7 linked regions of the Callithrix jacchus genome follow. The protein of the gene in region 5 purifies or fractionates together with the protein of the main gene of each other region. This does not show direct contact. Links are inferred from orthologs where the notes say so. Each region holds a gene or a part of one and is shown on either strand. Other genes may lie near its edges. The genes, in order: EIF2AK2, BAG6, IFIH1, TRIM21, MAVS, NLRP3 and ITCH.

Region 1 (3,500 bases), on a different chromosome or scaffold from region 5:
AGTCACTCATCCCAGCTATTTAATTGAGGATCTAGCAGGGAAGACTCACCCTGTTTGAATGTGTTTCTCTCGATGGCCTCCAGCGGAAACACAAAGGAAAAAGAGTTCAAATACCGGAATAATTTTGCAGTAATATATAGTAACTCCATGATGTAAATTGCCATGTCCATTGTTTTATCCCTGAAAAATAGTTCTTATGTAATTGTCCAAGTGTCCTTGCCTAGCCACAAATGTTGTTGCCTCTAATAGGAGGAGAGTGTGGACTTTAGTATCGGGCATCTGCAAGGTGGGGATTTTCTCTTTTCTTTTTTGAGATGAAGTCTTGCTCTGTCACCCAGGCTGGAGTGCAGTGGTGCAATCTTGGCTCACTGCAACCTCCACCTCCCAGGTTCAAGCGATTCTCCTGCCTCAGCCTCCTGAGTAGCTGGGAATAAAGGCTCACGCCACCACGCCCAGCCAGTTTTTTATATATTTAGTAGAGATGGGGTTTCATAATATTGGCCAGGCTAGTCTTGAACTCCTGACCTCGTGATTCACCCACCTTGGCCTCCCAAAGTGCTGGGATTACAGGCGTGAGCCACTGCGCCTGGCCCACTGTGGGGATTTTCTCAATTTTTGTGCACATAAGCAGATGGCAGACAGTGTTGAAGTTAGAGCAGAATCCATGCTTTGCTCTTTCCCTACAAAGCCGCAGCACTGTAACCTCATAGCTTCTCCTGTGGAAGCCTCATTTTCTCTACTGGTTTTTTCTTTCCCATTTGAGCACCTCTGAAAAAAAGATCCTCTACTGGATCTCTTTTATTTCTACCTCCATACCTTTTGACCTTTGGGGAATTAAAGAAAAAAATCACTACTTAGTGCCTTTGTGCCAGATCTTTAAGCAAAAAAAAAAAACAAAAGATTAGAAATTGCCTGGAAAATGCAAGCTCAGATATCAGCTGATCCTGGTTATTCAGAGACATTGGTCAGGCATGTTACTGAAGGTTTAAATTATGCAAGATATGAAATATAAATCTATCTAATAAATTAGTGTTATCTTAAGATCTCTGTTACTATGGACTTTTTAGTCATACGTTGGATTTACTATATTTTTCATGTTTGTATAAGTACCTTCCATGATTTCTCCTAGATTTCATTATAAATGCAAAGTGGGGCAGAAAGAATATGGTATTGGTACAGGTTCTACTAAACAGGAAGCAAAACAATTGGCTGCTAAACTTGCATATCTTCAGATACATAAATCAGAAGAAACCTCAGTGGTACGTACTGCCTTTGGATTAAAATTTTGTGTTTAAAATTCCGTCTGAAGTTGACTTGAGGTTAGACTGTGTTTACATTATGCCAAGACATCCAGTGATTTAGCAAAATGATTCCTCCATTCTGTGTCACACCAATGAACCATGTGCCATGGGGCCATGAGGCCTCAGAGGGATAAAAATTCTGTGGGTAACTCAGGGTGGTTTTTAAAATCCAGACCAGGCCAGGCGCGGTGGCTCACACCTGTAATCTTAGCACTTTGGAAGGCCAAGGCTGGTGGATCTCCTGAGCTCAGGAGTTTGAGACCAAAACCATGTCTCTACAAAAAAAAAAAAAAAAAAAAAAAATTAGACAGGTGTGGTGCGATGCACCTGTAGTTTCAGCTGAGACTACTGTCCTCGGGAAGCTAAGATGGGAGGATCGCCTGAGCCTGGGAGGTGGAGGTTGCAGTGAACCAACATGGTGCCACTGTACTTCAACCTGAATGACAGAGCCAAATCCTGTCTCAAAAACAAACAAACAAACAAAAATTATCTGCCCTGTGATCCAGAAAAGTAAAATAAAAAATAAAATAAAATCCAGACTAAACATCCGTTAAAAATGTTATTAATATTGTAATTGTTTATGGTTGTGAATTTGCTAATGTGTCAAAGTAACTGTGATAGTATACAGACACTGAGCCTCTGTAGAGAAATAATTAGTTGCATTTAAGCCTACTAATGGGCACTCTTTCTTTCAGAAAGCTGACTCCACATCCTCTGTTTCTTTTACTCCTGTGCGTGACATCCAAAACAACCCTTTAGTGACCAGCACATTGTAAGTGTAGACAAACAATTAAGATATTTAATTGCCATCTGAAAGAAATTTTTATAAAAATATTTAATGTTTAAGGAGAATTTAGAGAAAGAATCAGTGATAAAAAATGGTAAACTAATAGTTATATCCTTTTCTTCTAGGGCTTCTGAATCATCACCTGAAAGTAGTTTCTCAGCAGATACATCAGAGATAAATTTTAACAATAGTTTAAACAATTGTTCTTCATTGTCTATGGTATTGTATTAGTCTTGAAGCTTCCTACTTAATCTTATTTTTCTGTGTGTTTCCTTATTTAAAAATAACTTCCAGTATTCCATCATAATTTTTATATTTTTATCTTATGCACTCTTATTAAATGATAATATTCAGCAGCCCTTTGACTCTTTAAAATTAAGTTCCATTCCTCATTCATTCACATGTTGCCTGTTTTTCCTCACTCACCCTTATATTTTAATATATTCCTATGATCTTGCTTTTTTCTCCCACCAATGGGATAATATTTAAAGATTTACTAATATAGTTTTGTTTGTTTTTAAAAATTAGAATTAAACAACATTAAAAGTAAACTCGAAATCAGATAATTTTTTAGCCTGGTGCAGTGGTACATGCCTGTAGTCTGCAGCCACTTGTGAGGCCAAGGTGGGAGGATTGCTTTAGCCCAGGAGTTCAGGACCAGCCTAGGCAACATAGTGAGACTCCATCTCAAAAAAAAAAAAAAAAATCAGATAATTTTTTTGTGCACATAATGAGGCAATGCTGAAGTTAGAGCAAAATCTATGCTTTTGATGATTAGTGTTACGAGAGGATTCTGTTATAAAGAACTACAAATCAGTAAGAAAAAGGCAAGCAACTCAGTAGAAAAATATACAAAGCTTATAAACAGATAGTTCAGAGAAGAGATACCCAATGGGCAACAAATATTAAAAGATACTTTACTAGGAATCAGGAAAATGTAAATCAAGACAAGTAGATACTATTTTAAACTCGTTAGATTGGCAAAAAATTAAGTCTTACAATGCTAAGTGTTTGTACAGAGGTTGAAGAGAATATAGACATGGATGGACTAAGGAATTAGTCACAGAGCCATCTAGAAATACAGGAGAAAGGAAGATGATCGATTTAGTTATCTGAAACTATTTCTCACTTTCTTTTGTTATAGAATGGTCTCAGAAATAATCAGAGGAAGGTAAAAAGGTGAGTATCATTATGCATTGAACATATTTTGAAGTGAAGTTTTATTTCAGACTTACTTATTGTTTTTAATACTTGTAGAGTAATGTATACCCTTATTTGAGTGGAGTTTCAGAAGCAGACAGCTTGAAATCTATAAACAAATAATTTTAGTTGTGTCAAGAAATATTTGAATGTATGTGCATACTACACCATAGACATAAAGCCCTATGGGGGTGTTGCTAGAGTAATTAGGT
Region 2 (3,500 bases), on a different chromosome or scaffold from region 5:
CCTGATTCCAGACCCCATCTTCTTTGCCATTTTTTAATCTTGGGAATTATAGGAGAGTCTGATAAATAAACTCCTGGTATCATTTTGTGTTTGGAAAGGGGTCACTGATGTTTCAGACACACATTCCCGTGGGAGCCAGGCAGAGAATGTAATGTCCAGATGTTTTTTTTGTTTTGTTTCTCATCCATGTTATTTTTCATGGACCTATATATAACCTGAGCTTCATTAAATTTATTTATTTAATTTTTTGAGATGGAGTCTCACTCTGTTGCCTGGGCTGGAGTACAATGGCACAATCTCAGCAACCTCTGCCTCCCTGGTTAAAATGATTCTCTTGCCTCAGCCTCCCTAGTAGCTGGGATTACAGGTGCCCACTACCACACCTAGCTAATTATTTTTGTATTTTTAGTAGAGACAGGATTTCATCATGTTAGGCTGGTCTGGAACTCCTGACCTCAGGTGATCTGCCTGACCTTGGCTTCTCAAAGTGTTGGGAATACAGGTGTGAGCCACTGCACCCAGCCAAGTTTATTGTCTATATTTTGACAGCTGTTACTTCAGTTTAAGGGTTTGCACGGTGATTACCTCACAGTCAAGACAAATGGGTGGTGATTCTGTCAGTTGTCCGTCTCTGTTCTTCCTCTTTCCTCTATTCTTTCCATTCCTGTGCATACCTTCTCTTCCTTGCAGATGAATGTGAAAGAGTTTAAGGAGCACATTGCTGCCTCTGTCAGCATCCCATCTGAAAAACAACGGCTCATTTACCAGGGACGAGTTCTGCAAGATGATAAGAAGCTCCAGGAATATAGTAAGGCGACTGGGGAGGCAGTTGAGACGTTGAGACTGCTATCTGGAGTGTTGAGTTGAGGCCACGGGTTTACCTGTTCATACTATGTTTTGGTGTGTGTCTATTTTTCTGCAGATGTTGGGGGAAAGGTTATCCACCTGGTGGAACGGGCTCCTCCTCAGACTCAGCTCCCTTCTGGGGCATCTTCTGGGACGGGGTCTGCCTCAGCCACTCATGGTGGGGGACCCCCGCCTGGTACTCGGGGGCCTGGGGCCTCTGTTCATGACCGGAATGCCAACAGCTATGTCATGGTTGGAACCTTCAATCTTCCTGTAAGCTTATGTTCCACAGGGGAGGGTCTTTGTGGGTAGCTTTGGTTGTGGTAGCAGCAGGGTATTAATAAGATAGATGCTTCCATCTTTAGGTTGGGTTCAGGGGGCCCTGTGGTATGCTATTGGTGTCAGTGTTTAAGGAGAAAAGAGAGCGGGGCTCCAGGGAATGAATCGGAAGAGTGGAGGCCTTAGTATTGGCTTCTCCCAGAACAACTTCCCTTACCCTTTCCCCAGAGTGACGGCTCTGCTGTGGATGTTCACATCAACATGGAACAGGCCCCGATTCAGGTATTGAGGGGCCTTGGAGGGTCAGGGAAGGGGATCTGGGAGAAGGAGGCTGGGAGGTGGGGTAGACCTGGTTGAAAGATGGCTGGGACCTGATTTAGTAGGTGGTAGAATTCATGGCTTCATCTGTAACCTACCCTGATCACTCTTCTCTCATTGTAGAGTGAGCCCCGGGTACGGCTGGTGATGGCTCAGCACATGATCAGGGATATACAGACCTTACTATCCCGGATGGAGGTAAGTGGGCAAGGCTGGCTAGAGTCTCTCCCCACCTTCCCCCTTTTCTCTCAGCCTGGGGGTTGGGGCATAACTGGCCACATTCACAGGGTTTGGCCTTCGTAATCTAGACTTCTTTGCAGTATTCATTCTTTTGGACAGAAAAACGTATCTTTGTGAGCTGCTCTCATTTCTACCAGTCCTCTTGGTGCCTGGTGCCTGGTATCTGGGGAGTTTGTTTCAGATTTGTCTCATGGGATCTCTTTTTTTTTTTCAGACGGAGTTTCGCTGTTGTTACCCAGACTGGAGTGCAATGGCACGATCTTGGCTCACTGCAACCCCTGCCTCCTGGGTTCAAGCAATTCTCCTGCCTCAGCCTCCCGAGTAGCTGGGACTACAGGCGTGCACCACCATGCCCAGCTAATTTTTGTATTTTTAGTAGAGACGGGGTTTCACCTTGTTGACCAGGATGGTCTTGATCTCTTGACCTTGTGATCCACCCGCCTCGGCCTCCTAAAGTGCTGGGATTATAGGCATGAGCCACCGCGCCTGGCTGGGATCTCTTTTCAATTAAAGGATTCCACATTTGGCCTGGCGTGGGGGCTCAAGCCTGTAATCCCAGCACTTTGGGAGGTCAAGGCAGGCGGAGGTCAGTGAGACCAGCCTGGCCAATATGGTGAAACCCCATCTCTACTAAAAATACAAAAATTAGCTGGGTGTGGTGGCATGTGCTGCATGCCTGTGGTCTCAGTTACTTGGGAGGCTGAGGTAGGAGAATCGCTTAAACTCGGGAGCAGAGGTTGCAGCAAGCCGAGATCATAGCACTTGAACCTGGGTGAGAGAGTGAGACTCCATCTCAGGGAAAAAAAAAAAAAAAAGGATTCCACACTCTTAACTAGTGAAGGTCAGGAAACCACAATCTCTACTCTTTGTTAGAAATCTGTTGACAAATATTACAGATGCTATGGGCAGGCGTGGTGGTTTCTGCCTGTAATCCCAGCACCTTGGGAGGCCATGGCAAGTGGACAACCTGCAGTCAGGAGTTCCAGACAAGTCTGGCCAACATTGCGAAACCCTGTCTCTACTAAAAGTACAAAAATTTGCTGGTTGTGGTTGCATGTGCTTATAGTCCTGGATTGCTTGAATCTGGGAGGTGGAGATTGCAGTGAGCTGAAATCATGCCACTGCATTCCAGCCTGGATGACAGAGTGAGACTCTGTCTCAAAAAAAAAAAAAAAATTACAGATGCTTATTCATCTAATTTATGTTAGTCTTATGCTAGTTGCTAGAAAGTCAGATATACAATTGCAGAGCCCTGCCTTCAGGGAGCCTAGTTAGGACACTTTCTCTATTCAGTCTCCTGCAGAGTAATCCTCTGCAGCAGTCTCATCCTGCCTTTTGGTATCCTGACTCTTCCCCACCTTCAGTGTCGAGGGGGTTCCCAACCGCAGCACAGCCAGCCACCCCCGCAGCCACCAACTGTGACCCCGGAGCCAGTAGCCTTGAGCTCTCAAACATCAGAACCAGCTGAAAGTGAAGCACCTCCTCGGGAGCCCATGGAGGCAGAAGAAGTGGAAGAGCACACCCCAGCCCAAAACCCAGAGCTCACCCCTTCTGGCCCAGCCCCAGCGGGCCCAACACCTGCCCCAGAGACAAATGCACCCAAGTAAGAGATGGAGGGAATCTTTAGGGGGTGGGGAATCCTGAGTGAAGTGTGGGGAGAAGAAAATCAACCATTGTAAAGGAAGGAAAGGATTGTTTGGAGGTCTTAGTTGGAGGGTTAGCATTGAGAGTCGAGGAGGGTATATCTCAGTATAAGTAAATGATGCTAGGAGAGGCAGCTGACAAGAACTGCTCTCCCTGTGGCAAGGAAATCCAAA
Region 3 (3,500 bases), on a different chromosome or scaffold from region 5:
TCCAGGGAAAAATATTTCAATATATTATTTTGCTATTAATTACATAGGAAATTAATCTTGGTACTTGTCTGGTTAATCTATTATATAGACTCCAAGCTTGCTTGCAAGGGTTTAATCTCTTTTCTATGCTATATATGGCTGCCTTGAAGGGAGATCTAAAATGTAGAGTTGGGAGCCAAAGAGATGGGCTTTGTTCATCAGCACTGATGACTTACTTTTCTGAAAACTTCCCCCTCAGTCTTAAAGAAAATAGTTACTTCCACAATTATTTAATATAAATATATCATCTATGAGAAGTCAGTTTGGAGGTAAATTATTCAAGAACCAGATTTTTTACTGTAAAGTTGGGTTGTTATAAACACTGTCAGCCCCTATGTCCCTATGTCAAGTTTCATATGTTAAATAAACTAGATTGTTTCTATTATGAAATAAGTGCTGCTGCTACTCACAGAGCCTAGAATAAAGGTGTCTATGGACATATTCTCTCACATAAGGAATCTAGGCAGTGTTGGCTCCATGATGTTATGAGGAATCCAGGTTTTTGTTTGTTTGTCTCTTTGAGATGAAGTCTCGCTCTGTCGCCAGGCTGGAGTGCAGCGGTGCTATCTCGGCTCACTGAAACCTCCGCCTGCCAGATTCAAGTGATTCTCCTGCCTCAGCCTCCTGAATGGCTGGGATTACAGGCACGTGCCACTACACCCAGCTAATTTTTGTATTTTTAGTAAAGAAGGGGTTTTACCATGTTGGCCAGGATGGTCTCGATCTCTTGACCTCATGAACTACTGGTCTCGGCCTCCCAAAGTGCAGGAATGCAGGCCTTTTCTCTCTCTTTTATGCCATTATAGCATTGGGCTTTCATTCTCAAGGTCAAAGATAGCTTTTAGAATTTCAGCTGCCACATCTTTATTCTAGGCAGGAAGTAAGAAGAAAATGGAAAGGACAAAAAGTACACATGCCAGCTATCAAACTTTTAAGAAGATTTTCTGAAAATTCCACTCAACAGCTTTTTACTTGTCATTGACTGCTGGTTTGGAAATGTAGTCATTTAGCTAGCATATTCCACCCAGAATAAAATTATGGTTCTGTTCCTAGGAAAAATGGATACTGAGTGCGAAACTAGCAATTTCTGCCACAAATGTGTAAAGAGTAGACTGATTAAGATGGTGAAGGGTTTGAAAATTATAAAGCATGAAAAAAGATTAAAGGAATTTGGATGCTTAGCATGGATTAGAGAAGATGTTCATAATGTAATAACAGTGTTTAGTAAAGAGATTCCATGCGGAAGAAAGTTTAGACCTATTTTATGGAACAGAATTAAAACAAAAGGGTAGGATGGGCACAGTGGCTTGTGCCTGTAATCACAGCACTTTGAAAGGCTGAGACAGTTGAATCACTGAGATCAAAAGTTTGAGACCAACCTAGGCAACATGGCACAACTTCATCTCTACTAAAAATATGAAAATTAGCTGGGTGTGGTGGCGGGCGACTGTAATCCTAGATACTCAGGAGGCTGAGGCAGAAGAATTGCTTGCACCCAGGAGATGGAGGTTTCAGTGAGCTGAGATAGTGTGACTGCACTCCAGCCTGGGCAACAGAGCAAGACTCCATCTTAAATAAATAAATCAACAAATAAATCAAATAAAATAAATAGGTAGGCTAGACAGAGAATTTTTGTTGAGTATTGCTAAGGACTTTCTCACAATAGAATTTCTGAAATGGAATGGGCTACTTTTTGAACACCTGAAGGTTCCACATTTTCATGGTTACAGTAGATGATTGTATACTAAATTCTTTGGGGGATCATTACCTCATTATTTTTATCTCGTAGACCATGAGCTAAGTATGTATTTTAAGTTTCAAGTGACTTACTTCTATGAAACTGAAAAAAGAAAACAAACCTAAAACCACTAACTCTTCCTTTCTCTGTGCAGATTTTGGAATTACAGATGCAAAGTATAATGGAAAAGAAAATGAAAATCAAGAGAAGTACTGCCAAGCATTACAAGGAAAACCCATCACTAATAACTCTCCTTTGCAGAAACTGCAGTGTCCTAGCCTGTTCTGGGGAAGACATCCATGTAATTGAGAAGATGCATCATGTCAATGTGACACCAGCATTCAAGTGAGTCCAGAAAGAACCATTTTAAAATTTTTCTACCAGGGGTGAAGCAGGTTGTATTGTAAATGTTCTTTCAAAATAGTGCAACTGAGATTTTACAACTTTCCATCCTTTAGCCCCTCAATTATATTCCTATTTCAAATGTCTATTTTTTAAGTAAACTGCACTGCAGCAGGAAAGGAGAAGTGTACGAACCAAAGCCATTTTGATCCAAGGCACGTATTTTTGTATGCTCATCATTTGTTCTCAAATTTCTGAACAACTAAAGTCAAGTTAATATAACCAACAAACTTGAAAGAAGTTACAATAGGTAACTTGCCCTTTGAGAGATATATGTAGAAGAGAAAGATTACCTGAGTTGCCATAACAAGCCTGGGAAGCAGAAGGGAAGGAAGGAATGCCATGTAGAATAACGCATGCATGTGGATGAGGTTCAGGTCCAACAACCCATGAACAAAAACCCCATTGGTATTTTGTCAGTTGTGATGATTTTTCTTCCCCTTTGATACTTATAGGGAACTCTACATTGTGAGAGAAAACAAAGCACTGCAAAAGAAGTTTGCCGACTACCAAATCAATGGTGAAATTATCTGCAAATGTGGCCAGGTGAGTCAGTTGTTGTGGACCTGATTTTACTTTAGCCCAAAGGAATGTTTAATTGCATATGCATTTAATTTTCCTCTTGTTTTCTCTTTTATTTTCCAGGCTTGGGGAACAATGATGGTCCACAAAGGCTTAGATTTGCCTTGTCTCTTAATAAGAAATTTTGTAGTGGATTTCAAAAATAGTTCTACAAAGGAACAATACAAAAGGTGGATTGAATTACCCATCACATTTCCAGATCTTGACTATGCTGAACACTGTTTATTTAGTGATGAGGATTAGCACTTGATTCAAGATTCTTTTTAAATACTATCAATTAAACATTTAATATGATTTTGATTAATGTATTAATTATGCTACAGAGCTGATATAAGAATCAATAAAATGATTGTTTTACTCTGGATCGAGCTCTTTTTAGGAACATATTATCCATTATCCATTTTCCATCTTGTTGGTGGGCAGGGGTAAGGAAAATTTACCAATAATTCTCATTAGTGTGGAGCATTGTAGTCCTGTGGAAAGAATCATGGAGTACAAATGAGAATTCAAGGTATGATGGAGTACAGATGAGAATTCAAGGTACCAATCTCAGGTCTGTCACTTATTGTCAGAATAAAATTAGGCAAATCATTTGATCTTTCTGAACCAGTCTCCTTATCGATGAAATGGTCATAATATTCTCTGCTTTTTCTTTTTATTGATTTTTTATTGCTGTATAACAAATTGCCACAAATTTAGTGGCTTAAAACAACACTCATTAATTATAACGCATGTCCTG
Region 4 (4,195 bases), on a different chromosome or scaffold from region 5:
ATTGGGGGGGAAAGGGGAGGGTCAGTGGGAGGGGGAGGTGGGGAGGGATAGCCTGGGGAGAAATGCCAAATGTGGGTGAAGGGGAGAAGGAAAGCAAAGCACACTGCCATGTGTGTACCTACGCAACTGTCTTGCATGCTCTGCTCATGTACCCCAAAACCTATAATCCAATAAAAAATTAAAAAAAAAATAGACAAATGGGTAAGGAAAGTGTGGTACACATACACAATGGAGTACTGATTAGCCATAAAAAGGAGAACCTTTCATTTGCTACAACATGGATGAAAAATAGGGGTCATTATGTTAAATAAAATAAACCAAACACAGGCAAACAACCAATTGTACATTCTCACTAATAAGTGGAGCTAAAAATTAGAACAATTGAACTCATGAAGATAGCAGAATGATGGTTACCAAAAGCTGGGAAGGGTAGCCAGGAGTGTGTAGGGGGGTGATTAATGGGTTCAAAATACATGAGATAGAATGAATAAGATCTAGTATTTTATAGCATAACAGGGTGACTACAGACAATTTATCATACATTTTAAAATAATTAAAAAACATATAATTGGATTGTTTGTAACACAAAGAAGTGATAAATTCTTGAGGTGATGGATACCCCCACTTACCCTGATGTGATTATTACAGACCGTATGCTATACCTGTGCATCAAAATATCTCATGTAGCCCATAAATACATACATCTACCACAGACACAGAAAATTTAAAATTTAAAACAAAATTACTTGGGTAAATTTTATATTCTGTGTATTTAACGATTAAAAATTAATATAACCTGAGAATGTCCCTAGCTCGGTGATAAGAACATAGTTGGTTATCAGATGTCAATTCCCTTCTCACCACTCACTGGTGGGATACTTACCTCGGGGTCATGCGAAATAAATCACTCACCTGCAGATGTTAAAAAAATAATAGTCACATCAGTCACATGAAAAGAATTAGCTTCTGGAAGTAAGAAACAGATGACGGCACGTGAGGGAGAGCACCAGCCACTATTCTCTGCATCCAACCCTCCTTAAAAGCAGCTTCCAGACATGGGCAAAGCATCTAGGTGTGGGGTGATAACCAGTGTCAAAGAAAGCAGCCCGGACTCCCCCATCTTGCAGATATTTTACTAAATCAGATAATGAAGACATGGGAGGGGGTGCGCACCCAGGACCACAGGCTACTGGGCTTCCATTACTTCCCAGTCTCATAGAAGCCCCCTGGCTGTCCAGAGCCTCTGAAGCCCCCCGCCAGCCCAACTCTGACTTCTCTCCTCCCACCTCTCTTCCTTCTCAGCGGCATTTCTCCACACACCCTTTCAAGGCTCCGCTCCTCCCACGGCTCCTCCCTCTCTCCTCTCACGGCTCCTCCTCCCTCCCCTTTCCCGTCAGACTTGCCTCTGAGCGGAAACTGAAAGTGAAATAGGGAGCTGGCTACCCGCGTTGAGTCCCCTGTAAAGGTGAGTGAACCTCACTAAATCAAGGAACCCCTGCCCTCCTAGTGGACCTCTCCCCTGCCCCAGGGCTGCAGAGCCCCTTCCAACCAGTCTCCATCCTTGAGCCGGTCCCATTTGCCCCTTCTCCCACCGGGGATCCCTCAATCCAAGCCCCTCTGTGCTTCCGAGGCTGGTCTCCTAACCTGGAAGGAGGCTGGGGTATGGACATGACTGCTGCGGAGTTACCCAGAAGGGGTAGGGTTCCGGGCACTTGGGAGGAGACTGGGGTGTGGGACGTGACTGCGGAGTTACCCAGAAGGGGAAGGGTTCCGGCTGCCCCCTACTTGGGAGGAGGCTGGGGTGTGGACGTGACTATGGAGTTACCCAGAAAGAGAAGGGGCCTGGCTGCCCCATTGCTGGCACCTGAGCTGGGATGAGAGCTGGGTGCAGCTGAGAGAGCCAGCACTACTGCCTAGCCAGGAGCGTGGGGGAGATCTGCAATCCTGGAGACTCCCAGGTCCAAAAGTCCTCCAGAGGTGAGGGGCAGGCTGCTTAGGATGTTCAACCAGAAATGTATAGGCCTTCAAAATTACTCTTTGTCATAGAAGAAGTGATGTCAGGAACTAAACTAAGTTTGGAGCAGCTGAAAGAAGAGCCCAGGGAGTGCTGGCCACAGTTCCTGTTGCTCTGTGTGAATACATTCACATATACATGCTCATGTACATACATATACACCTGACTTTTGCCAATATTGGAATGATTAATGAAGATGTATTCAAAGCATGTGTAGTATCTCTGGCACATGGAAGGTACATGGTTAAAAGTAGCTATTTTATGACTAGTTTCTCAGCAACATGGAGGCCTGCTGGTACCAGAAAGAAGATGAATGGGCACTGAGGGTTTAAGCAGGAATGGACATGAGAGAACTGTCAGCTTTATGAGGTTCTTGCCAATTTTCACTCCCTCCTTTAGGGACTCAGTTTCTCCTTCTGTCCCAGTGGATCAATGGGCCAAACAGTGGAGGAGTTCTTGTTATTCAGAAGAATAAACTTATTAAACAAACTATTTGGTCCATGCAAAAGTAATACTGTTTTTGCCATTAATTATTTTTCCATTAATATTATGCCCTTTTTTTTTTTTTTTTGGAGATGGAGTCTCCCTCTGTTGCCTGTGCTGGAGTGCAGTGGCACCAACTCAGCTCACTGCAACCTCCACCTCCCAGGTTCAAGCAATTCTCCTGCCTCAGCCTCCTGAGTAGCTGGGATTACAGGCACCCACTACCACTCCCAACTATTTTTTGTATTTTTAGTAGAGACAGAGTTTCACCATGTTGGTCAGGCTGGTCTCAAACTCCTGACCTCAGGTGATCCACCCACCTCGACCTCCCAGAGTGCTGGGATTACAGGCGTGAGCCACCATTTTTATTTTTTTATTTTCCGTTTCATCATTTTGTTTTTCTTTTTTTAGTTTTAATTTTTCTGGGCATGTAGTAGGTATATTTATGGGCTACATGGAACATTTTGATACAGGTATACAGAGCCACCATTTTTATTTTTTTATTTTCCTTTGCATCATTTTGTTTTTCTTTCTCTAGTTTTAATTTTTCTGGGCACATAGTAGGTATATTTATAGGCTACATGGAATATTTTGATATAAGTATACAATGTGTAATAACCACATCAGGATAAATGGGGCATCTAGCACCTTAAGCATTGATCATCTGTGATAAACTATGCAATTATACTCTTTCAAATGTACAATTAAATTATTGACTATCGCCACCTGTTATGCTATCAAATACTAGATCTAATTCACTCCATTTTTGTACCCATTAACCATCCTACTTTTCCCCCAACACATCCTCCCTACTATTCTTCCCAGCCTCTGGTAACCATCTTTCTATTATCTAACTCCATGAGTTCAATTGTTTTGATTTTTAGCGCCTACAAATGAGAACATACAATGTTTGTCTTTCTGTGCCTGGCTTATTCCACTTAATGTAGTGACCTCCAGTTCCATTCATGTTGTTGTAAATGACAGGATCTCATATTTTATGGCTGAATAGTACTCCATTTTGTATATGTACCACATTTTATTTATCTATGTATCTGTTGATGGACACTTAGGTTGCCACCAAATCTTGGCTATTGTGAAACATACTGCAATAAACATGAGTGTGCAGATATCACTTTGATACAGTGATTTCCTTTCTTAGGGGTATATACCTAGCAGTGGGATTGCTGGATCATATGGTAACTCTATTTTCAGTTTTTTGAAGAACCTCCAAACTGTTCTCTGTAGTGATCGTACTAATTTACATTTCCACCAACAGCTTATGAGGGTTCCCTTTTCTCCACACCCTCACCAGCATTTGTTATAGCCTGTTGGATAAAAGACATTTTAACTGAGGTGAGATATCTCATTGTAGTTTTGATTTGCATTTTACTGATAATCAGTGATGTTGAGCAACTGTTCATATGCCTGTTTGTCATTTGTATGTCTTTTGAGAAATGTCTATTCAGATCTTTTGTCCATTTTTGAACCAGATTATTACATTTTTTTCCTATAGAGTTGTTTGAGCTCCTTACATATTCTGATTATTAATCCCTTGTCAAATGGATAGTTTGCAAATATTTACTCCCATTCTGTGGGTTGTCTCTTCACTTTGTGGATTATTTTCTTTGCTGTGCAGCAGGTTTTCAATTTGATGTGATCCTATTTGTCCAATTTTGCTTCGGTTGCCTATGCTTGTGG
Region 5 (4,082 bases):
TCGTTTTGTCTGTTTTTGAACTTTATATGACTGGAAGCAGACAGAATGTGCTCTTTAGTGTTTGGTTCCATTCACTAAGCACTATTTAGCTGCTGGTGCCCACTCAACTGTGGGAAGATCCTCCTATGTCTGTGTGTCAATAGTTTGTTCATTTTCACTGTGGTATACTATTCCATAGTGTGATTACACCATAGTTTGTCTTTCTGTTTTCCTGCTGATGACCATTTGCGTTTTCGGATTTTGCCTATCATGAATAAGTCAGTACAAACATTATCTAGGTGTATGTTTCTAGGTAGATATATACCCAGGGGCGAAATTGCTGGGTCATAGGATTAGCATACGTTTAACTTCAGTAACAACTGTCATTTTTCCAAATCTCTTTTTTCTTTTAAGATGAGGTTTCACCATGATGGCCAGGCAGGTCTTGAACTCCTGACCTCAGGTGATCCACCCACCTCAGCCTCCCAAAGTGCTAGGATTACAGGCGTGAGCCACCGCGCCCGGCTCCAAATCTCTTAAACTCTTTTTAAAACAGGAAGAATAAACCTACTCTACCTGATTATCGTGAGCGTATTTAATGAACTCTAAAGAATAAGGTTTTAAGCCTTGTGCCTGGAAGACAGTAGGTGCTCAATAAGTGCTGGCCTCTGCCCCAGCAGGGGAAAGGCGAGGCAGAAGGCAGGAACTGCGGGAGGTACCCGCCCCATACCGTTGGGCGGAAGAGGCCTCTCCCACGCAGCACTTAAGTCACCCCCAGCCTGCCCGTCAGCCAGTTTGGCGTGCCTGCCTTGGGCCTACCCACCCTGCATTCCGTCGCCCGCTCCCGTTCCCACAGGCCCGGCGTGCGCGTCTCCTGCCTAGGCATCCTTGCCCCTGTGACTTCAGCGTCTCCCAGCGTTTGCTGGACACTAACTGTATGCCAGGCCATGAGGCTGCAGGAGAGAACGACACGAAGATCCTCGCCCCTCAAAGCTCCCGGCAGGAGGAGGGGCTGCTTCACTTGAGAAGCGTGGGGATGGAATTCTCAGCCCGCCAATGACTCGGAGGCCGGCCGCCCGCCTGGTTTCTGGCCGGACACTGGACTTCCCCTGGAAGTTGCTCGAGACGAACAAGGGAAGAAAACAATCCGCTCTCCCGCGCCCCCAGCAGGAAATCAGGTCGATCCTCCGAGCCTAGTCCTGTGTGTCCCCGACCCGCAAACCAAGGCCCAGCGCCCGCCCCCGCCTCTCCGTCCCTGAGCCTCCAGCCAATCACGCGCGGCCGGGAAGCCCCGCACCCTCCTGTTGGCCAATGGCCGCGCGGCCTGCCTGCCCCGTCCCGTCGCTGCGGGGAGGGTCGTAGGCCCCGCGCGGCTGTCGCCAGGTCGCAGGGCCGGGGCTACCCGAGGTAAGATCGCCGCTGGGGCCCTTGGTCCTCTCTGCTCAGTACACACGGACGCCTTTAGGGAAGGTGGCTGCAGCGGAATGACCGCGTCAGCCGGGGCGCCCTGGGTCTGGGGCGCTCGGGGTTCGGGAAGAGCCGGCCCTGAGGCGCACGGGGTTCGGGGACACTGAGGGCTCCAGGCGCCGCATCCAGCACCGGGGAAAAGGGGTAGGTGGCGCTGGGCGTCTGCTCTGTCTGGGGGAAAGGTAGAGCCGGAAGGGCACGGGCAGTGGCCGCTGACCTCCTGCTGCCCGCAGGCCCAGGGTGACTCTAAGGGGGGGCCGAATCTCGACGGGCCGCGCCTTGGGCTCGAGTACTGCCGCCCTCCCCTGGGTGTGGACAGTTCTCGGCGGCGACACCAGCTCAGAAGAGCTTCCCGGCGCTCCGCGGACCTGGGTCTCGCCCAGGAATCCGATCCGAGGCTGTGAGGCCTGTCCCTTTCGGGAGGGTGGGTATTTATTTCCGGGACGCACTCAGAGCCTCTGGACAGTCAGGTCGGAAACTTTGCTGCATCGAGAACACTCTGTCACCTCCTTCCTTCTCAGATGGGAGAGGTGCCAGGAAAACAATGAAACAAACCAAAACAACGAAGAAGGCATTCTCTGTATGGAAGTCGTGAAGCCTCAAAACTATCTAGGAGGACAGCCAACGACTTGGGACCTGTGGCCGCAATGTGAGGGCAGGGTTAATGTCTGATCTAAATGTTGCTTCCTCCCAAGTGCACCCTCAGCCTCTCCCCACAAGTGACCTTGGGCCCTCTTTGGGCTTGAAGGCAGGTGGCTCTGTGGGCCTCACTTGCTGCAGGGGTCTCTGTGCCCTGCAAGGTGTATGACCAGCTGCAGTGAGGTAGGAGATTCTGGGTTCAAATCCTGTGCTAGCCTCTGGCCAATTGTGCACCTTGGCATCACTTCCCCTGTCACGGGACTGGGGAAGGATTAACTAAAAGAACCTTAGGATGTGCTTGTCTACAGTTGGCCCTCAATAAATGTGAACAGACGTGGGCTTCCTTTCCTTTTGGTTGGGCTACATCATCCCCTCCCCTCCATGTGTGTTGTAGGGGCTGAGGCTAGAGTGCCTCATCTGATTGCCTCCTGGTACCTGGCTGATGCCATGAGAAAGGAAGAAGAAACAGTGTTTTGTTTTTTTTTTTTAATGGAGTCTCACTCTGTTGCCCAGGCTGTAGTGTGATAGCCTGATCTCAGCTCACTGCAACCTCTGCCTCCCAGGTTCTAGAGATTCTCATGCCTCAGCCTCCCAAGTAGCTGGGAGTACAGGTGTCTGATGCCATGCCTGGCTAATTTTTGTATTTTTAGTAAAGACCGGGTTTTACCATGTTGGCCAGGCTGGTCTCAAACTCCTTACCTCAAGTGATCTGCCTGCCTTGGCCTCCCAAAGTGCTGGGATTACAGGCATGAGCCACCATGCTTGGCCAAGAAAGGGGTCTATTAACTGTCACAGAGTTGGTTTTTGCTCTTTTTTTTTTTTTTGAGACGGAGTCTTGCCCTGTCCCCAGCTGGAGTGCAGTGCATGATCTTGGCTCACTGCAACCTCCACTTCCCGGGTTCAAGTGATTCTCCTGCCTCGGCCTCCCAAAATGCTGGGATTATAGGTGTGAGCCACCATGCCCAGCACTTTGCTCATTTCTTGAAGGCTCAGAGCCTGACCCTCCTGAACTGTCCTTTGCACTTGGCCCACAAGGAATGCAGCAGTGCCTGGTGGTTGGCAAAGCAAGTTGTGCATGTGAGACTCTGAGGCCTGTGACAAGACTGTTTCCCCTGTGAGTGGGGTTTGGTGGCCCAGCAGCTTTCAGGTGCTGTCTGCTCCGCAGCACTGCCTCCTAGAGGTCTCATGCTTGCCTGATGCCCACTTGGTCCTCTTCTGCCTCCTTCCCTCCCTGACAGCCCACTAGGAATCCAATAGCATCTCAAGCTTCACTGTTCAAAACTGAGTTCTGGAGTTCCTTCTGAGCCACTCCTCCTCCCCTGGCTTCTCTGCTCTGGTAAATGGGCACCTGCCATCTACCCAGTGCCTAAGGAGTCATCCTTGATTTTTTTCTCTCCCTTATCTCCTACACCCTCAAAACACCAGAAATCTGGCTGCCTCCTGCCAACTCTGTAGTTTCCATCCTGGCCATAATCATCCTGTCTCCTCGGCTGTGGCCTCCTGACTGGTCTCCCAGTTTTCATCCTGGCCCCTCCACAGTTCTCACAATTGTCAGAGAAGTCTTTAATGTAAATCAGATCCTCTTCTTTCCCTGCCAGAACCTTCCAATTGGTCCCTGTTTCACTCCAACTAAAACCCAGAGTCCTTTCCTACAGCACCCTACGTGAGTGGTCCCTTTTACCTCCTTGACCTTCATCTTGCCCCTCTCCCTAGCTTTCTTAACCTTGACCACACTGACCTGCTTTCTATTCTTCAAACATGCCAAGTTCATCCCACTTTAGGACTTTTGCATTTACCATGCCCTCTGCCAAAAACACCAATCTTCTCAGAGCCTTAGAACGGCTCAGCTGTGTTCTTAACACTAGTTCAGAAAGGCTTCTTTGACCCCCTAGTTCAAGTAGCATGCCTGTCTCCAGGGGATGTGTCTCTTTACCTGCTTTATTTTCTTTAGAACCTTTATTGCTATCTGGAATTCTTATTTGGGTAAGAATTTACTG
Region 6 (2,950 bases), on a different chromosome or scaffold from region 5:
GCCACAAACTCATGGTGGCTTCCGTGGCCCACGTAATCTGGCCCCCACTGCTTCCGAAGATTCGTCTTCTCCTGGCCCTTCCTCATTCTACCCCCATATAGGGGTCCCCTTGCTGGTTTGCAAGAACACTTTCATCTCTGGATTTTTGCACTTGCTTTTCTTCCTGCTTGGAACTTTCTCCCCTTCAATTCCATGTGCCTTATCCTCCACACATTCCTAAATTGTCTGCCTAAAGGTCTCTGTGAGGCTGTCTCTGACTCTCTTACTGAAAATGGAAGCCCAACATGTCCTTTCTTTTATCTTCTCATTCTCCCCTGTAGTGTTGCACATCTTATGTGCTCTGTCATTTTCTCATTTATTTATGATCTGTGCTCCCAAGATATAAATTCCTTTAGTCCAGGGACTTTGGTCCATATTCAAGATCTCAAGGCTGAGAGCCTGTTGGAATGCAGGTCTGAATAAATAAAAGTTTGAATCAGCTTTGCATCCTCGTGTAGACATAATGGGGCATGTTTGCTGCCGGACAAGCCCACATTCCCAGAGCGAAGAGAGATAGAGGAAAAAAAGAGGGATTGCTCAGGCCAAAGCTGGGGACATTGCTTCATACAGAGTCACTGACCTAGCCCTGAGGGACGTTCAGGACCCAGGCCAAGGGTCAGGCTCAAAATAGGCTGAAGAACCCATGAATGCCATCAATCTGTTTTCTCAGGCTGCCATGACAAGCTGCTATAGACGGTGTGACTCAAACACAGAAAGTTATTTTCTCACAGTTCTGGAGGCTGCAAAGTCCAAAATCAAGTCTCTGGTGAATTTGGTTGCTGATGAGAGTCCTCTTCCTGGCTTACATGGCTACCTTCTTGCTGTGTGATCGCATGGCGGGAGGGGAGGCGAGGGAGAGAAGACGGGGGAGAAAGAACAAACTCTCTGAAGCTGCCCCTGTAAGGGCCTCGCCCTCACAGCTTCATCTGCCTCCCTCCCTCCCTCCCGAAGGCCCCACCTTTCAGTACCATCACGTTAGCGTTTCGGCTTCATCATGGGAGTTGTTAAGGAGGAAAACATTTGGTATACAACACAACCAAATTGAGATGCTCAGCAATGATGCGGGACAAATGGGCTGATTCAATAGTTAAGTTTCAAGGGAGACTTTGTATTAAAGAAGAGAAGGAACTTTCATCAAAGAAACGTGAGCGGCATCCTGGGCAGATGCAATGTGTAGACTTGATCGGGTTTGTGACTAAATGAACGTAACGTAAAAAAAATTACAAGACAGTTGAGGAAGTATAAATGCTGGCTGGACATACAGTGACACTAGGAAATTACTATTAAACAGTTTTGATGTGATGGTGATATTGTGATCCTGTTTTAGTGTCACAGAGTGAATTATTTATACATGTGTTAACTGCACTATTTAAAATAATCCATGGTGGGAGGAGTGGGTGGGTATTAGAGGAAACAGGTTGACATGACCTGTGTCATTGTTGAACTTGGGTAACGGACACAGGGGGTTTGTTATACTGTATTGTCTACTTTTACATATTCTTAAAATTTTTCCAACTAGATAAATTTTTTTTACTAGATAGTTAAAAATATAACAGAAACCACCTTGGGCACTGAGAGCTTCTGTTCTGTTTTTGTTTTTTTGTTTAACATTTTAGAGTTTAGAGGTGTGTGTTCAGGGAAATGAAGAGATGAGACTTTTAAGGTTAACGACTCTGAGAGACTTATCTGAAGAGTGCAACCCAGGCTTTCTGTTTGCTTTTACAGGTTGTGTGAAATGTTTTTCAATTATGAGACAAAACGTGCATTAGAAACACTTCAAGAAGAAAAGCCTGAGCTGACCATTGTCTTTGAGCCCTCTTGGTAGGGGCAGAAGCAGGGCTGCCAGACGCCAGTGTTCTCTGGCCCCTCCACTCCTTGGGTGCTGCAGTCCATCCAGCCCAAAAATCCTTCCAGGGGGGTGTTGGAGAAGAGAGCTTGCTGATGACGCCTCTGTGTAGAGAACGGGCATCTCCTTTATGCCCGGGTGAGGAAGACACGAGGGTGATGGAAGCTTCCGGATGTTCTCATCACAGCACCTTAATTAGAGGATGTTCCTCTTGGCGACCTTATGTAATTAGCTCATTCAATAAAACATTTTCTTTGTCTTTATTTTCCTCTCCTCACTGTCTCTAACTTTCTTTTTCCTATCTTTTTTTCTTCTTTGATCTATTTTTGCTCATATAATCATTCCTGCTATCTTTCTATTAACTGACCATAACACAGAACTAATTGACTATATATTATGTTGAAATTTTGTGGCAGCTACTTATTTATTTAAAAATTTTTTGTAATAGTTATGTTTTCTAATAAGAATAATTCATGCTTTTTGTAGCTAGTTGAAAATTCAGGAATATGTAAAACTTTTTTGTATTTATTGAATTAAATTGTTGCCTTTTCTTAATTTCAAAAAAGAGTGCCTAGACATTTTAAAAATTATTTATTTAAACCACTTAAGATAAATTAAATTGCTTTGTGCATTTTAAAAATCGCTTTGGCAAATGATTCAATTGTAGATAATTTTTAAAAAATTACCTCACACTAATTGTAATGAGTGGAATTTCAGCTTTGCTAGGATAAGAGCTTGAAAGTCATAGAGGGAAAGGTTTCAGGGTTTTGGAGCCTGCACTCATAACCAGAAGTATTAGGCAGAAGATGCATCTTGCCTTCATTTGATAACAACTCATTTTGGATTTATCCCATCTGAGGAACGGTTCATCTATCATACTTCACAGAGCATTAAGTTATAAGGAAATATTTACTAATTGCCTCTCTACACATGGACAACTCTTGAACCGCATGGAATCGCTCAGGATGGAAATAGTATACAATTAACCATCAAAGTAGCCACACTTGGCTACTCAAGTTGTGGTCTAGGAGCTGTAGCTGTACGGAACTTGAATAAGATTGTAAA
Region 7 (3,722 bases), about 6.6 Mb from region 5:
CAGAAAAGCTCTGATTTCTCCACATCCTCACATCCTTTTCAACTCTTGTTTTCTTCTTTTTGTTGTTGTTGTTTTAAATAATAGCCATCCCAGTAGGTGTGAAGTGTATCTTATTTGCATTTACCTAATGACTAAGGATGTTGAGCATTGTTTTCATGTGTTTATTGGTCATTTGTATATCTCCTTTGGAGAAATGTATCCTTTACCCATTTTTAAATATTGTTGAATTCTAAGTTTTTTATATATTTTAGATAGCAGTTCTTTATCAGATATATGATTTATAAATATTTTTTTCCATTTTTGAGTTATTTCACTTTCGTGACGGTATCCTTTGAAGCACAGTAGTTTATTTTTGTGCTTCTATAGGAGTGGTGTTATACTACACTACTCATTTGATTCTTTGCATATTTCCTTTTCTCAAACTAACAATTCTTGCTTTTAGTTTTAATCGCCTGGACCTGCCACCATACAAGAGCTATGAGCAACTGAAAGAAAAGCTGTTGTTTGCCATAGAAGAAACAGAAGGATTTGGACAAGAGTAACTTCTGAGAACTTGCATCGTGAATGGGCAAGAACTTGTTTGCAATGTTTGTTCTTCTCTGCCTGTTGCACATCTTGTAAAATTGGACTGTGGCTCTTTAGAGAGTTATCTGAGTGTAAGTAAATTAATGTTATCATTAAAATTTATCACCCAGTGATTTCTACTCACCATTTCCAGAAATCAGGTCTGCAAATGACTAGTCAAAACTTTGCTTAACATGAAATTTTAACACAGCAATGAAATCTGCCTTGTCTTATTCCACTAGTTTGTTCCCTTAACAATTTTGTATATAGGTCAAAAGTTTCACTTGGGAGTAGGTTTTTTTCTTTTACAAATTCTGGAGATAAGCAGGGAAGTCCTTTGGTAACTGCAATATACAAGATCTTCCTATTAAGCCTCTTGGGATGAGGCATTTGTTAAAAGTGCAAACTTACCCCAGCTTCTGGGGATGTGAGCAAAATTTTGGCTTGTGTTCTCCTCATTTTAGTCTGACTTGACTATTGTCTTTCCTTTCTGGAGCATGAATCCATACATCATTCCTGGAAGTGATGCAAAACTACTGCATCTCTCTACAAAGTAGTTTTGTCAATTTGAATTCAGGGAAAAGTTGGTCACAGCCTCTAAATAATTTCATTTGGAAGTTTGATTGTTTTAGTTGCCTGGCAAATACTACACTTTACGAACAATATTAACACTGTGATTCCTTCGTTGTTGTTTTAAGTTAACCTAGGGCCAGGCGTGGAATCCTAGCACCTTGGGAGGCTGAGGCAGAAGGATCCCTTGAGGACAGGAGTTCAGGACCAGCCTGGGCCACATAGGGAGACCCTGTCTCTTTTGGGGGGAAAAATAAATGGGAAAAAAGTTAACCTAGAATTAGAATTAATTTAATTGAATTCATCTAAGGACATCACTGGTGATTTTTATATGTTCTACATAACTGATGCTTTATAATTTTATCATAATCCAACAACTTCAGTTTATATTTAATTATTGTTAAGGAGTTTAAGACTAGAAAGACAAGAGTGCTTTCTAGTCCAAATAGAGGTCAATGAAATAGCTTCTGACATCAAATTTTCATTTGAGAGGGAGAGCTGTGGTATGGGCTAAAAAGAAAGGAAGATAACGTCCAGTAACTACAAGAATATATTCTCTGTGAATTAAAAGTCTTCAAATTTATCATTTCTCTGACATATGTTGGAGTAGTCATTTCCATTCTTTACATTGTCCTGAAATGGTTTGATATCCCTCATCTGCAATATTCTTTTTACCCTTAAAATTTTTAGCAGGGTTTTCTTTTTTTCTCATGACTATTTTAAGTTTAGATTGCTCCATTACTAACTGATTAATGTACTTTGAAGTTCTCTGGAGTTAATTCTTTTAAATTGGCCTAGCTTAGACTGTCAAGATGGCTGTTATAAATTGGACTTTATGAGCAGTGGAATGAAGCCTAAGCCAGCTGAGTCCCTATTATAGCTGTACTGTGAGGACAGCCTCATAGCTCATGTATAAGGGACTTTGCCATGTTTGAGAGGCATAGCATGAACAAGTAATATTAAGCCAAGAACAAGCAGCAGAACCCTGTTCCATATGGAAAAAAATATTTTTTTTGGCCCTAATGCTCTTCCTTTTTACATCCTGGAACAACAATAAAAACTTTTTTTTTTTAACTTGGCTATCTGTACTCCAAGACACTGCCATCATAAAGCAGAGACTTACATGAGTGAAAAGGTTGCCTCATCAAAGAAACTCAGTGTAAATTGGGAGACTAGGCTCTCCCCAGCCCTGTGGTTTTTTTTTATTTCATGTACCCCAGGAAATACTGTGTGGTTTCCAGTAGCCCTAGTTGTTAAAAGTAGGGACTCTGCCTTTTTGTTGGTAGGGGGGGAAAATGCTATTGCTTTGTCTTACAGAGCGAATGTCTGCCAACTACCCGTTCATTATATAAGTCTGAACTTCGTAATATATGGCTAATGAAGATTAAGCCCTCTATAAAGACTTCCTGTTGAGGTGAATTCTCATACTGAAATGTAGTTATCTACAATATTTACTAGAGATTTATGAGATTAAATTAAGAGATAATGTAAGAAAATAGATTTTTTTTTTGTTCTATATAATGCTTCATGATTCATTTAGGGACCTAGAAATATTGTGTGAAAATATATAAATATCACCCAAAAGGCTTTCTGCCCTATATTTTTAAAATACAGAATAGTTATATTTGAAGTAGCCCTGGCCCTAGTTCTATAGGGCTTGGCTATTTAATATTTTTATGGAAGAAGTGTTTAGTTCTGGAAAAGGTAAATGCTTGTATATATTTTTGCAGCCTGGGATCTCCCTACTCCATTTTTCCCTTTAATTTAAGTGGCCACATGTATATGTCTTCCCTGCTGTGTTAGGAAAATGGGGGCTGGATATCCCAAGAATCAGAGGTTATATAAAAATACTGCAAATAGATAGCAGACATAAATATCTACCAAATGCTATCTTAAATTTTGGTCCAAACTGAACATATGGAAATAGATTTATTGTAAGTATTTACGTAGACCTTTTTCTTAAATCTGAACTAAATTGCTTTTAGAATTCTTTCTCTTTGTAAGCATTGTAAATGCTAATAAATCCTGTTAATTATTATTATTTTTTTTTACTGCATGTTACATTGAAATAAAAACAAAGTAAAATGAGCAATTGCCTTATTCTTCTGCTCTTTTGCAGGGGGCAGGGGTTGGGGAAGACAGCATTCCACAGCCTGGTCAGGAGGGAAGGACCTCACTTTTTTGATCAAATGGAGTGGTTTAAAACTGATCAAACAGCTCATAATAATGAATTCCTGCTCTGTCTTTTATTATGTCAGAGTACAGAAGAACCTCATTTCATAAAACTTACAATAACTCTATTTAAAATTCAGGTATTGTACTTGGGAGGCTGAGGTGGGAGGATCGCTTGAGTCCAGAAGTTCAAATCCAACCTGGGCAACATAGCGAGACCCTGTCTCTTAAAGCAACAAAAAGACATATTCAGGTACTGATTTTTCATCAAGAGATTGACATACCAATGACTAGAAATTTTAGTGAAACATGTTCAACTATACACAAAGTTCTCATCCTAAACGAACTATTTCAATCAAGCCCGCTCTACCACTTTTTACTTATCTGGTTAATAATCTGAAATGTTAATCAGGGTT

Evidence for each region.
Region 1: the proteins of MAVS (region 5) and EIF2AK2 purify together in Homo sapiens (affinity purification with western blotting; 3 studies listed by BioGRID and IntAct, with this or other methods). This does not show direct contact. The link is inferred for Callithrix jacchus from reciprocal best matches to the Homo sapiens genes MAVS and EIF2AK2.
Region 2: the proteins of MAVS (region 5) and BAG6 purify together in Homo sapiens (affinity purification with western blotting; 3 studies listed by BioGRID and IntAct, with this or other methods). This does not show direct contact. The link is inferred for Callithrix jacchus from reciprocal best matches to the Homo sapiens genes MAVS and BAG6.
Region 3: the proteins of MAVS (region 5) and IFIH1 purify together in Homo sapiens (affinity purification with western blotting; 12 studies listed by BioGRID and IntAct, with this or other methods). This does not show direct contact. The link is inferred for Callithrix jacchus from reciprocal best matches to the Homo sapiens genes MAVS and IFIH1.
Region 4: the proteins of MAVS (region 5) and TRIM21 purify together in Homo sapiens (affinity purification with western blotting; 3 studies listed by BioGRID). This does not show direct contact. The link is inferred for Callithrix jacchus from reciprocal best matches to the Homo sapiens genes MAVS and TRIM21.
Region 6: the proteins of MAVS (region 5) and NLRP3 purify together in Homo sapiens (affinity purification with western blotting; 4 studies listed by BioGRID and IntAct, with this or other methods). This does not show direct contact. The link is inferred for Callithrix jacchus from reciprocal best matches to the Homo sapiens genes MAVS and NLRP3.
Region 7: the proteins of MAVS (region 5) and ITCH purify together in Homo sapiens (affinity purification with western blotting; 3 studies listed by BioGRID). This does not show direct contact. The link is inferred for Callithrix jacchus from reciprocal best matches to the Homo sapiens genes MAVS and ITCH.

Annotation. Positions count from the first base shown.
Region 1 is NC_133515.1:77,846,150-77,849,649, forward strand, and holds part of EIF2AK2 (interferon-induced, double-stranded RNA-activated protein kinase), read left to right. Parts: intron 1-1,129; coding exon 1,130-1,259; intron 1,260-1,996; coding exon 1,997-2,073; intron 2,074-2,213; coding exon 2,214-2,307; intron 2,308-3,232; coding exon 3,233-3,267; intron 3,268-3,500.
Region 2 is NC_133505.1:39,148,493-39,151,992, reverse strand, and holds part of BAG6 (large proline-rich protein BAG6), read left to right. Parts: intron 1-690; coding exon 691-808; intron 809-922; coding exon 923-1,119; intron 1,120-1,353; coding exon 1,354-1,407; intron 1,408-1,566; coding exon 1,567-1,641; intron 1,642-3,047; coding exon 3,048-3,286; intron 3,287-3,500. UniProt on the Homo sapiens protein: ATP-independent molecular chaperone preventing the aggregation of misfolded and hydrophobic patches-containing proteins.
Region 3 is NC_133507.1:67,420,615-67,424,114, forward strand, and holds the end of IFIH1 (interferon-induced helicase C domain-containing protein 1), read left to right. Parts: intron 1-1,931; coding exon 1,932-2,122; intron 2,123-2,634; coding exon 2,635-2,725; intron 2,726-2,824; coding exon 2,825-3,004; 3' UTR 3,005-3,125; downstream 3,126-3,500.
Region 4 is NC_133511.1:69,716,676-69,720,870, reverse strand, and holds the start of TRIM21 (E3 ubiquitin-protein ligase TRIM21), read left to right. Parts: upstream 1-1,395; 5' UTR 1,396-1,465; intron 1,466-3,773; 5' UTR 3,774-3,850; intron 3,851-4,195. UniProt on the Homo sapiens protein: E3 ubiquitin-protein ligase whose activity is dependent on E2 enzymes, UBE2D1, UBE2D2, UBE2E1 and UBE2E2.
Region 5 is NC_133506.1:11,368,896-11,372,977, forward strand, and holds the start of MAVS (mitochondrial antiviral-signaling protein), read left to right. Parts: upstream 1-1,282; 5' UTR 1,283-1,590; intron 1,591-1,967; exon of another isoform or gene 1,968-2,095; intron 2,096-4,082.
Region 6 is NC_133520.1:38,227,679-38,230,628, reverse strand, and holds the end of NLRP3 (NACHT, LRR and PYD domains-containing protein 3), read left to right. Parts: intron 1-1,764; coding exon 1,765-1,864; 3' UTR 1,865-2,450; downstream 2,451-2,950. UniProt on the Homo sapiens protein: Sensor component of the NLRP3 inflammasome, which mediates inflammasome activation in response to defects in membrane integrity, leading to secretion of inflammatory cytokines IL1B and IL18 and pyroptosis.
Region 7 is NC_133506.1:4,798,831-4,802,552, reverse strand, and holds the end of ITCH (E3 ubiquitin-protein ligase Itchy homolog), read left to right. Parts: intron 1-442; coding exon 443-542; 3' UTR 543-3,222; downstream 3,223-3,722. UniProt on the Homo sapiens protein: Acts as an Acts as an E3 ubiquitin-protein ligase which accepts ubiquitin from an E2 ubiquitin-conjugating enzyme in the form of a thioester and then directly transfers the ubiquitin to targeted substrates.